Linked DNA regions of Oryctolagus cuniculus. The protein of the gene in region 2 interacts with the protein of the main gene of each other region in a biochemical or structural test. Links are inferred from orthologs where the notes say so. Each region holds a gene or a part of one and is shown on either strand. Other genes may lie near its edges.

Region 1 (3,238 bases), on a different chromosome or scaffold from region 2:
GTCATACATGTGTTCTGACCCACAATATTTTAAGACTAGAATTAACTAGGTTCAAGAGGCTAATTTTTTTTTTTTTTTTTTTTTTTTTTTGACAGGCAGAGTGGACAGTGAGAGAGAGACAGAGAGAGAAAGGTCTTCCTTTGCCGTTGGATCACCCTCCAATGGCCGCCGCTGCAGCCGGCGCACCGCGCTGATCCGATGGCAGGAGCCAGGATCCAGGTGCTTTTCCTGGTCTCCCATGGGGTGCAGGGCCCAAGCACCTGGGCCATCCTCCACTGCACTCCCTGGCCATAGCAGAGAGCTGGCCTGGAAGAGGGGCAACCGGGACAGAATCCGGCGCCCCGACCGGGACTAGAACCCGGTGTGCCGGCGCCGCATGGTGGAGGATTAGCCTATTGAGCCACGGCGCCGGCCAAGAGGCTAATTTTTTAAAAATATCTACTGTTTATTTGAAAGGCGGAGCTGGGGGTGAGGGGTGGGGAAAGATATCTCCAATCTACTGGTTCACTTCCCAAATGGCCAGGGCAAGCAGAAGCCAGCAGCCGGAAGTCCATCCTACTCTCCAACACATGTGTAAGGACCCAAGCACCTGGGCCATCTTCCGCTGCTTTCCCAGTGCATTAGTGGGTACCTGGGATCAGAACTGGAGCAGCCAGGGCTCAGATGGGACGCTAGCATCACAGGTGGTGGCTTAAGCCCCCAAGCCACAATGCAGGCTTCCAAGAGGCTAATCCTTGCAAGAACAATCTCAACAGGAACATGAAAAGTTTGAAGACTTTAAAATTAAAGTACAAATCCCACAGTTTAGTGACCTGGATTTGCATGGACTCCAACATATCTCCTCTCCTGTGACCTACTTGTCACCTACATGGGTGAATCAGATACTGGCTTGATACCTGGTTGTATACACCTTTTTCCTTAGATGCAGTAATAAACAGAATGATTTCCTAAAAGTCAAACGATCTGCTTAGCAAGGCAAAATGAAGCTTCGTTTGTCAGAACTCCTCTCAGAACTCTAAGGTAACAGAATCCCAACTGCTGGTCATAAAAGCAATTCCAGATAGTTCAGTCATTGAAAACGTTAAAAACTCACTTTCCAAGTTTAATATATCCCAACTTTGTTATCTGGCAAATATTTTGTTTTCATGACAAGATTAACCCTATGACCCGGTGGCGTATACAACGTTTGTGCTTAATCTTTAAACAGACATTAAAAATGCTTGTGTTATTTATTGGGACTTACAAGTTCATGTTAGGGGGAATAACTAAAGAAATTGGAGAACGGAGCGAGCAGATCTGGCATGCCACGACGTGCCAGCCATCACCAACAGGTCCCTTGGAAATCATCATCTAACTAGGAATTTGCAATTTCAGCACTAGAGTGCTCATCTTGAGAGAGACACTACCGCTGACAACATTCTCCTTTTTCAATGATCTAGTGCTGGGGCCTACAGAGTTGTAAGAGAAAAAGACTACAAAAGCACTTACATGGGTTAAGAGATAAAATTTCATGATTATTTACCAGGAATGTTAAATTATGAAGTTACAGAATGACGATAAAAGAGGTTTTCTACTTAAAATTTGATTACTTCAATTTAAAATACAGCAGTCCCCCACTTATCTATGGTTTCACTTTCCCCAAAGCTTCAGGGTCTTAAATATTCACTGGAAAATTTCAGAAACAAGGTGCTCCTAAGGTTTACAACGGTCACGGTTCCAAGTGCCTGGAGGAAGTTCATCTTCATCTGCTGCTTGGGGTGGGAAGCACCTCCCGCCACCCAGCACACCAACAGTGCCCACTCCTGCCAGCAGACTGGTGTGGCGCCTAAAGTAACCCTTTACTTCACTGCACATGCCGCAAAGCACACGAGTAGTGATGCTGCCAATTCCGGCAAAGAGAAGACACAGGATGCAGAAAAAAGAATTCATCTTCAGGGCCAATGTTGTGGCATGGTGGGTAAAGCTGCCGCCTATAGTGCTGGGATTCCATATGGGGGCCAGTTCAAATCCTAGTTGCTCTTCTTCTGATCCAGCTCTCTGCTATGGCCTGGGAAAGCTGCAGAAGATGGCGCAATTCCTTGGGCCCCTGCACTCACAGGAAACCTGGAAGAAGCTCCTAGCTTCGAACTGGCTCAGCTCTGGCCATTTAAGCCATTTGGGGAGTGAACAGTGAATGAAGACCTCTCTCTCTGCCTCTCTGTAACTCTGCCTTTCAAATAAACAAATAAATCTTTAAAAAAAAAAGGGGGGGCGGGGATCTATCCTAGCTTCACTGACACACCTCAAACCACACAAGTCAGTGGTGAGCGCTGAGGATGGAAGAGGGTCACTTTCCATGATCACAACCACTGACCGGGGCTACCAGAACGGACCCAAGCGGGTCAAGGGCGTGGGGGTGGAGAAACTGTACGGAACTCTAAGAAACATAAAAATGTCAACAAAAAACCTACCTTTGCTCTCGCAAAGTTGCTTGAATTTCACAGACTCGAACTAAAGATCTTAAGTTTTTTAATTCAGTACAGATTTCCGACATATGAACACTTCCCATATTGTGGGCTTCTTCACGCAATCTTGATGCCTGTAATAAAACACAAAGTACATTATAAAAAACATCTGCATACAGAAAACACTGTTTCTAAGTGAAACTTATTATAGAATAATTCTTAAAATCTGCAAAAATGCTGGTCAAGAAGTTGGAGGTGAGGTGTATGGGATGGCAGATTTCTCTTAAAAAACTATGTCTAATCATGGAAAGTAGTCATTTTAAATCCCCTCTTCAGGACTTTTCGGAAAACAGCCTTTCCAGTATCAGGACGAGGGTCTCAGTACGTGTGGTTAATACAATGTCGGCTCAGGTAAGGACGATCGTCATCACAAGTTCAGGTGTAATGCTGACTGCAGAGCACTGCTATATTTGTTTCAGGAGACACAATACATCCTCTGTGAGCTTTCAGAACACCCCAGATGGTCAGTTATAAAAAAGGCAAATGGCAGGGCCGGAGCTGTGGTGCAGTAGGCCGAGCCTCAGCCTGTGGCGCCGGCATCCCACGTGGGCGCGCCATTTTGTGTTCCGGCTGCTCCTCTTCCAGTCCAGCTCCCTGCTATGGCCTGGGAAAGCAGCGGAAGATGGCCCAAGTGCTTGGGCCCCTGCACCTCTGTGGGAAGACGCTCCTGATCAGCTTAGCTCTGGCCACTGTGGCTATTTGGGGAGTGAACCAGCAGATGGAAGACTTTTCTC
Region 2 (3,652 bases):
CAGCAGCTGCGCGTCCACCTGCGGACGGGGCAGGCCTCAGGGCGCGGAGCTCCAGCCTCCCCCGCTCCCCGGCTCGGGCGAGGGGCGGCCGTACCTGGGACTTGAGGCCCAGCACCTGCTCGCCCAGCTCGTCCTTCTCCTCCCGCAGCAGCTTGTGGATCTGGTTGGCCTTGATGCGCTCGGACATGAGCTTGAAGTTGGCATCGTCTTTCTCCCGCAGCTGCTGCAGCAGCCGCCCGTTCTGCTCCTGCATGTCCTCGAAGGCCTGACCCGTCACATCCATCTCGGACAGCAGTGCCTCCTCCTCCTGCAGTGTGGGCCGGGGACGAGACGGGACACGGCAGATGGACACGGGGGGAACCACAGGAAACCGTGGCCAAGGACTACAGTGTGAAGGAGGCCAGCGAGGGGCCACCTGTGCAGGGGCTGAGGGAGCCCCAGCACTCATTAGCCGGGGGAGCGCCACGGTCGCACCTGCTTGGTGGCGCCCAACTTGCGCTGCAGGTGCTCGATCTGCTCCTCTGCCTGCCGGATGCGGCGCAGGGCGTCCTCGTCCGCCATCTTCTTGCTCTCCCTCCGATCCCGCTCCTCCAGTTCCCGGATGCGGCTCCTGAGCTCATCGACCTGCGGCCATGATGATGAGGGAGCTCTGGGTGCCGCTTCCCGCTGCCGCAGCGCCCAGGGACAGGCCGGCCTCTCCGCGCACCCCCAGGCCCCACCTGCCCTCACCTCAGCCTTGGCCTTGCGTTCGGCGGCCATGAGCTGCACCTTGTCCCGCTGCTCCTTGGGCGCGGACTTGTACATGTCCAGCAGCAGCTTCATCTCCTTCTGGCTCTCCTGGGCCTTCCTGGGGGAGACACGGGAGGGCCCAGTGGGCGGGGCTGGCGGCCACGCGGCAGGGGCGGCGGCAGGAGGCAGGGGGAGGGAAGGCCTCACTTGAGCTCTGCCCGGAGACCCTTGAGTAGCTCCGACTCCTTCCTCTTGGCCTCCTCCACCTTGGCCTTCTCCCGGTCGGCTCTGGAGAGAGCTGAAGCTACAGGTGCGGGCCCCAGGCCGGGCCCTTCCCGTTCCCGAAGCTCCCGCTTGGGCCTGGTCTCGGGTTCTCGGCCCCGGGAGGAAGGGCCCTGTGCCCCGGGAGTTAGGGCCTGGGCATCGTCTTCAGGGGAAATCAGCTCCTCTTTCTTCAAGGAGGTAGCAGTGGTGGCACCGGGCGCCGAAGCCATCTCCTTCCTGCTGTTGGGGGTAGCGACAGGGCCTGGCCCACCCTCTTCTTTCCCTGGGGCCGGGGCACTGAGGCCAGAGTCCTCTGGGTGGCCCAGGCTGGAAATGGAGTGGGCAGAGCCACTGGCCTGAGCCCGGAGCTGCAAGGATAGAGGGGAACAGGGATGAGGCGAGACCGGGCTGGTCAAGGTCTAGCCAAGGCTTCCCGCAGGCAGCCCCGCTCACCTTGCCAATCTCAGCCTGCACTTCGCGAAGCTTCCGCTTGTATCGCTGGGCGTCGCCCTTGAGCTGGTGGTTGTGGTTCTGCAGACTGCTAATCAGGTGGCGCATCTCCCGGTTGATAGGGCCTGGAGGAGGGTCAGGGTCAAGAGTGTCAGGCTGGTCCCGGGTCGGGATCCCAACCCCTCAGTGGGGGAGGAGGTGGAGCCAGAGCCACCAGGGCCACTGTGCAAGGGGTGGGGTGGGTTACACAGCACATGACCTCACCAAAGGAAACCCACCCAGGAGTAACCTGGCACTGCCGACCTGTTACATTTGCTAATGGAGGTTTCTAAATAGCTCCAAACTTCCTTTGATGCAATTGCTAACCACACAATTCACAGAAGGCAGCGGCTGCCCTTTCAGCACGAGGGGCCCTGTGTCAGTTACACTGCCCAGGCCTCTTCCAGGCAACGCACCTCCTCCTGGCATCTCCTGAGAGAACCTTCCTCCCTCCTCGTTGGCGTGTTCTCCCTGGCTAACACCCACCCTCTGGCTGTCTTCCCCTATGACAACAGCGTGCCACAACAGACGTGGGGAACTATTCTGCTCACTAGCACAACCCAAGGCCTAGACAGGGCCTGGCTCGTGGGTGGCATTCAGCGACCGTTATAAAATGAGCATCTGACAGAAGACGCCAGAAGCCAGGGCGGCACAGACAGGACTGACAGCACCTGTCGCGGCTACACGTGCTGTGGCAGCCACTTCTGCTGGCTGTGGCCAGGCGGTGCCGGCCCCGCTCTGCAGAGGAGGCTGGGGCTCTGTGATGGACATCTGGGTAACAGCAGCCCTACCCCAGGAGGCCCCGCTCCGCCCCGTGTGCACCACCGACCTGCCTGCTCGTTGGCCGCCAGGTTCTGCTCAAACTCGATGCGCAGCATCTCGTACTCCTTGCGCACCTGGGCCAGCGTGTCCTCCAGCTGGATGACCTCCGTGCGCAGCTTTTTCTGCAGCCCCAGCTCGTCGCTCTGTGCGGGGTGAAGGCATTAGGACCCATACGACCCCTGGGCAGGCACAGGGAACCCCCGAGTCCTAGTAGCGCAGCCCCCAGGCCTGTTCCAGGGCCCCACCTCCATGTGCTCAATGTGCCTCAGGTGGGAGTTCTTGGTGGCCAGCAGCAGCCCCCGGGCCTCGTCCAGCTGCGTCTTCACTTGCAGAGACTCGTTGTACAGCAGCGAGAACTGGGCCTGCAGCAGCCGGTACTCCCCTGTCTCCCGCACCACCTCCTCTGGGAGGCTCCGCAGGGCCACCTGGGTGCACGGAGGCCCAAAGCAGGGCTCAGTACAGGGACTCTGCAGGCCCAGGCCCCCCTCAGCCCCCGCCCTACCCCAGTTCACCTTGAGGCGCTCATTGGTCCGCACAGCCCCCTGAAGTTCCGCCTGCAGCTTCTCCAGCTCCGCCATGCGGCTGTTGGCCAACTCCTGGTTCTCCTCCAACTCTGCGTTTAGCATCTCAAACTAAGGGGCGAGAGGGGCATGGCGGGCAGGGCTGAGTCAGGCAGCAGGCTCCACTCACATCACACCCACGCCCCACCCGAGCGGCAGGGACAGATTCTGAGGCCCCACACCGGGGACCTGCCTAGGGGTGCCCAAGGCAGGTGCCCAAGGCAAGGCAGAACACTTAACATCTCAGGGGAGCACGGAACACTGTCCGCTAAGGCGCTTAACCGACAGGAAGACAGGGAGGCATTCCCGAAATGCAGGAGCGCTAGCGTGGACTCCCCCTGCTGTCTTTCCTGGGCTTTTTCCTCGTGGGGCTTATTTCTTTACCCAAACAGAACCTTCACTCTTATTCTCTGCAATGTGCCTGGGTCCCCAGTACGCAGTGTTCGGGAACCATCCCCTGACGACTGACAGAGTGGCAGGAGTGGCGGGGCAAGGCCTCGGGGGGAGCGAGGCTTCTCCTCCCTGCTGCAGGGACTTCCGGGAGGCCGGCAGGGCCAGCGCGGCTCACCTTTTGCATGCTGAGCGTGATCTGGCCCCCCTGGAAACCCGACGAGCTCCCAGACACGTAGTAGCCGGAGTTGAGCTGCGACGGGCACAGAGATGACCGGCGTGAATGCAGGACCCAGGGCCCCCGGTGCCCAGCCGCGGCGCTGACGGCCCAGCAGCCCGGCTACCTGCTCCAAGGCCTCCGCCAGGTGCTTATTGAGCTTCTGCTCTCGCTTGCGCAG
Region 3 (3,117 bases), on a different chromosome or scaffold from region 2:
AACAAAATACTACTGAGAAAAGTGATAAATACTTAACTCCTTCTTTTCTAACTACAGGAACATTCAAACTTACAATAGAATTCACTGAAGAATATCCAAACAAGCCACCCACGGTTAGATTTGTCTCTAAGATGTTTCATCCAAATGGCAAGTATCACCTTTATAGAGTATTTTAAACTATCTCAGTGTTTGTTATGGAAGTATTCCACATTTCTTATTTCTAATACTTGAGTATTTGTTTAGGCATCTTGCTCTTTCCTGAAACTGAACTTGTTTGTGGTGATGTACTGCTGTTTAGATCTGTAGTCCTTGAGTTGAAGCAGTGAAGGTATTTTCCTTTTGCTTAGAGTCTCAGGGCCTCCTGGTTTCGACGATTTTTGCCATTTACTTGTCAGACAAAAATAAGATTTCCTTTTAATGCTAGGCGAGATTGGGTTACTCTTGTGTTCTAATTTTCACTGGCATTTAGAACAGTAGTTTTCAATATCAGATGCCTATCAGAGTTATCGTGGAACATTTGCAAGATATAGATGTCCTGACCCATATCTTTATGCCAAAATGAAACCTTGTGTCCCCTGAGCTATCTTGTGTTACTTCAGGTAGGAAATACAGTTTACAAATTTGGTGGAGTGAATTTGCCAAAAGGTCAATGGATGGCTAGGAACCCTGTTAGAAAATGTGTTTGATTTCCTGTATAATGGGGCAGTCTTTTCAGAAGAATGTGCACTAAGTATTTTCTAGCTTTATCCCTATCACATTTGACATTTTTTGATCACCCTGATTATTTCATGGGTAATGATTATGACCTGTCATTTTAGGCAGTTAACTGGGAAGCAGGCTAGGAATATTTTTTTCAACTTCAAAAGTAAAGTATTCTTGATTCTGTCTTTAATTAATATTAAAACCTTAGTGGTCTCACTTTAACATATCTACATCTATACTCTTAGTCTATGCAGATGGTAGTATATGTCTGGACATACTTCAGAACCGCTGGAGTCCAACCTATGATGTATCTTCCATTTTAACATCCATACAGGTGAGTTTTTTCTCAATATAACTACGACCTTTAATGTATTTATATTAGTAATTGTTTTTGAAAGTCATAACTTTAATAGGCCTTTTAATTCTGGGCAAAGACTTATTTTATAGGTAAAAGGTAGACCATTCAGACCCAGGCCACCAGAAAACACATTATTTGCATAGACACTAACAGATTAATGTAATGTACAGACAGTAAATTTAGCTGTGACTTAGGACAATTGTTACTATCTTATATAGTGTATTTCTTGCACTGAGGAACTGACATTTTCAATTTGTTCTTTACAGTCTCTATTGGATGAACCAAATCCCAATAGTCCAGCAAACAGCCAGGCTGCTCAGCTGTACCAGGAGAACAAGCGGGAATATGAAAAGCGTGTTTCTGCCATAGTAGAACAGAGCTGGCGTGATTGTTGACCCCAGAGGGAGCAAAAGAAAGTAACCATAAGAAAAAAATATATTGATGTATTTGTCACCTTCTTATTCCTCATTGTCATTAATTTACTTTATTAAAAGCAAAAAGCTGTTGTGCTGTTTCCATCTTCCCTTGCCGAACTGTTCCTAGCCCTTCTCCCCTCTCCTTGAACACCAGGCAACACCCTCTGTGACATCAAATGTACTGTACCTGGGTTACTTGCAACAATTACTAATGCTTAATTCCTTTTCTGTTGTATCTCATTTCCAGTCTTTGGCAATTATTTGTTACTGTACTTTACAGTAAGGTTTTTAAATGAATTGTTAACAAGTGGTTTCTTATGCATAGCTTTATGATGAAGATACTACTCTAAACAAAGTGATGGCTGAGGTGTTTCATCCTGGCTGGTCCTTCACTTGTATTGGGTTTAAAAGTGTTTAGACTGTGGCCTAGAGAGCAAGGAAACAAGCCATCCAAACATTAGTTTTGAAAGGGGAATGGAGGCCAAAAATTCCGATACAATCTTATGAATTATAAGATGATGTTTCCTGGTAGGAAGAATGTTGAAGGATGCAGCCAAATTAGTACAGCCATTGTAGTACCTGACACATCCTCTCCTTGCAAGACAGTGGTTAGCTACATCCATGCTAAGTTTCAGAACACCGGTTTTCTAGGGTTTTGCTTTTAAAGAGGTGTGGGAGCAGAGGAATGGAAACTCATCAATTTTGGAGCTAGGGAAAAGTTGGAGATCCTTTAGTCTTTCTAAAGGAGTGCAGTTGCCCTAGATAAACTTACAGTCCTCCATCTTTTTGTTGTTTAGTTTGACTTAATTCAAAGGGAGCATATCTGTGGCAAAGTATTTTCCACTCAAATTCTGAGTTACCGCTGCATGCTTTAGTTTCTTCCTCCTTTTCAACGTTATGACAACCTTAAAGCCAATGTCAGCAATCTTTCTTTCAATATTTACACTTTTAGATATAGTACCTTTAAGTAGCAGTGTGGGACAAGGCTTGTAAATGTTTTGTCTGATATTCCATTGTTATCTTTTATGCATTTATTGCTTTTCTAAATCTAACTTTGCACAAGTAACCCATGTAAAAAATGTACATTTTTCAAAACTTGTAAATAAAAATAACCTTAAAATTTTGCAGTCAAGGTATAATTACATTTTAGCTCAGTATGAATTTTAGTACTAACTCTTACTGGGATTTCTTTAAAAAAAAAAAAGATTTATTTTTATTTATTTGAAATAGTTATACAGAGAGGTAGAGACAGAGAGAGAGGTCTTTCATCCGATGGTTCACTCCCCAGATGGCCACAGCTGCCAGAGCTGAGCTGATCCAAAGTCAGGAGCCAGGAGCTTCTTCTGGGTGTCCCTCATGGGTGCAGGATCCCAAGGACTTGGGCCATCTACTGCTTTCCCAGGCCACAGCAGGGAGCTGGATCTGAAGAGGAACAGCTGAGACACGAACTGGCGGCCTTATGGGATGCCGGTGCTTCAGGCCAGGGCTTGAATCCACTGTGCCACAGCGCTGGCCCTTGGGGATTTCATACCTACTCATTTCCCCCCACCTCTTAAAGCAACAATACTGATTGTGGGAGTGGAAAAACAAAAAGGGTAGATATTGTTGGAGAGAATAATTTTTTCTTTTCAGTCTTAAGTG

The links.
Region 1: the proteins of RNF40 (region 2) and WW domain-containing adapter protein with coiled-coil form a complex in vitro, tested with the Homo sapiens proteins (2 studies listed by BioGRID). The link is inferred for Oryctolagus cuniculus from reciprocal best matches to the Homo sapiens genes RNF40 and WAC.
Region 3: the proteins of RNF40 (region 2) and UBE2A form a complex in vitro, tested with the Homo sapiens proteins (3 studies listed by BioGRID). The link is inferred for Oryctolagus cuniculus from reciprocal best matches to the Homo sapiens genes RNF40 and UBE2A.

Annotation. Positions count from the first base shown.
Region 1 is NC_091444.1:99,032,319-99,035,556, forward strand, and holds part of WW domain-containing adapter protein with coiled-coil, read right to left. Parts: intron 2,579-3,238; coding exon 2,451-2,578; intron 1-2,450.
Region 2 is NC_091450.1:6,348,427-6,352,078, forward strand, and holds part of RNF40 (E3 ubiquitin-protein ligase BRE1B), read right to left. Parts: coding exon 3,599-3,652; intron 3,508-3,598; coding exon 3,433-3,507; intron 2,937-3,432; coding exon 2,817-2,936; intron 2,730-2,816; coding exon 2,550-2,729; intron 2,448-2,549; coding exon 2,312-2,447; intron 1,569-2,311; coding exon 1,447-1,568; intron 1,362-1,446; coding exon 937-1,361; intron 848-936; coding exon 730-847; intron 625-729; coding exon 475-624; intron 308-474; coding exon 95-307; intron 19-94; coding exon 1-18.
Region 3 is NC_091453.1:73,512,825-73,515,941, reverse strand, and holds the end of UBE2A (ubiquitin-conjugating enzyme E2 A), read left to right. Parts: intron 1-57; coding exon 58-147; intron 148-947; coding exon 948-1,036; intron 1,037-1,326; coding exon 1,327-1,455; 3' UTR 1,456-2,599; downstream 2,600-3,117. UniProt on the Homo sapiens protein: E2 ubiquitin-conjugating enzyme that accepts ubiquitin from the ubiquitin-activating enzyme E1 and transfers it to a E3 ubiquitin-protein ligase. In vitro catalyzes 'Lys-11', as well as 'Lys-48'-linked polyubiquitination.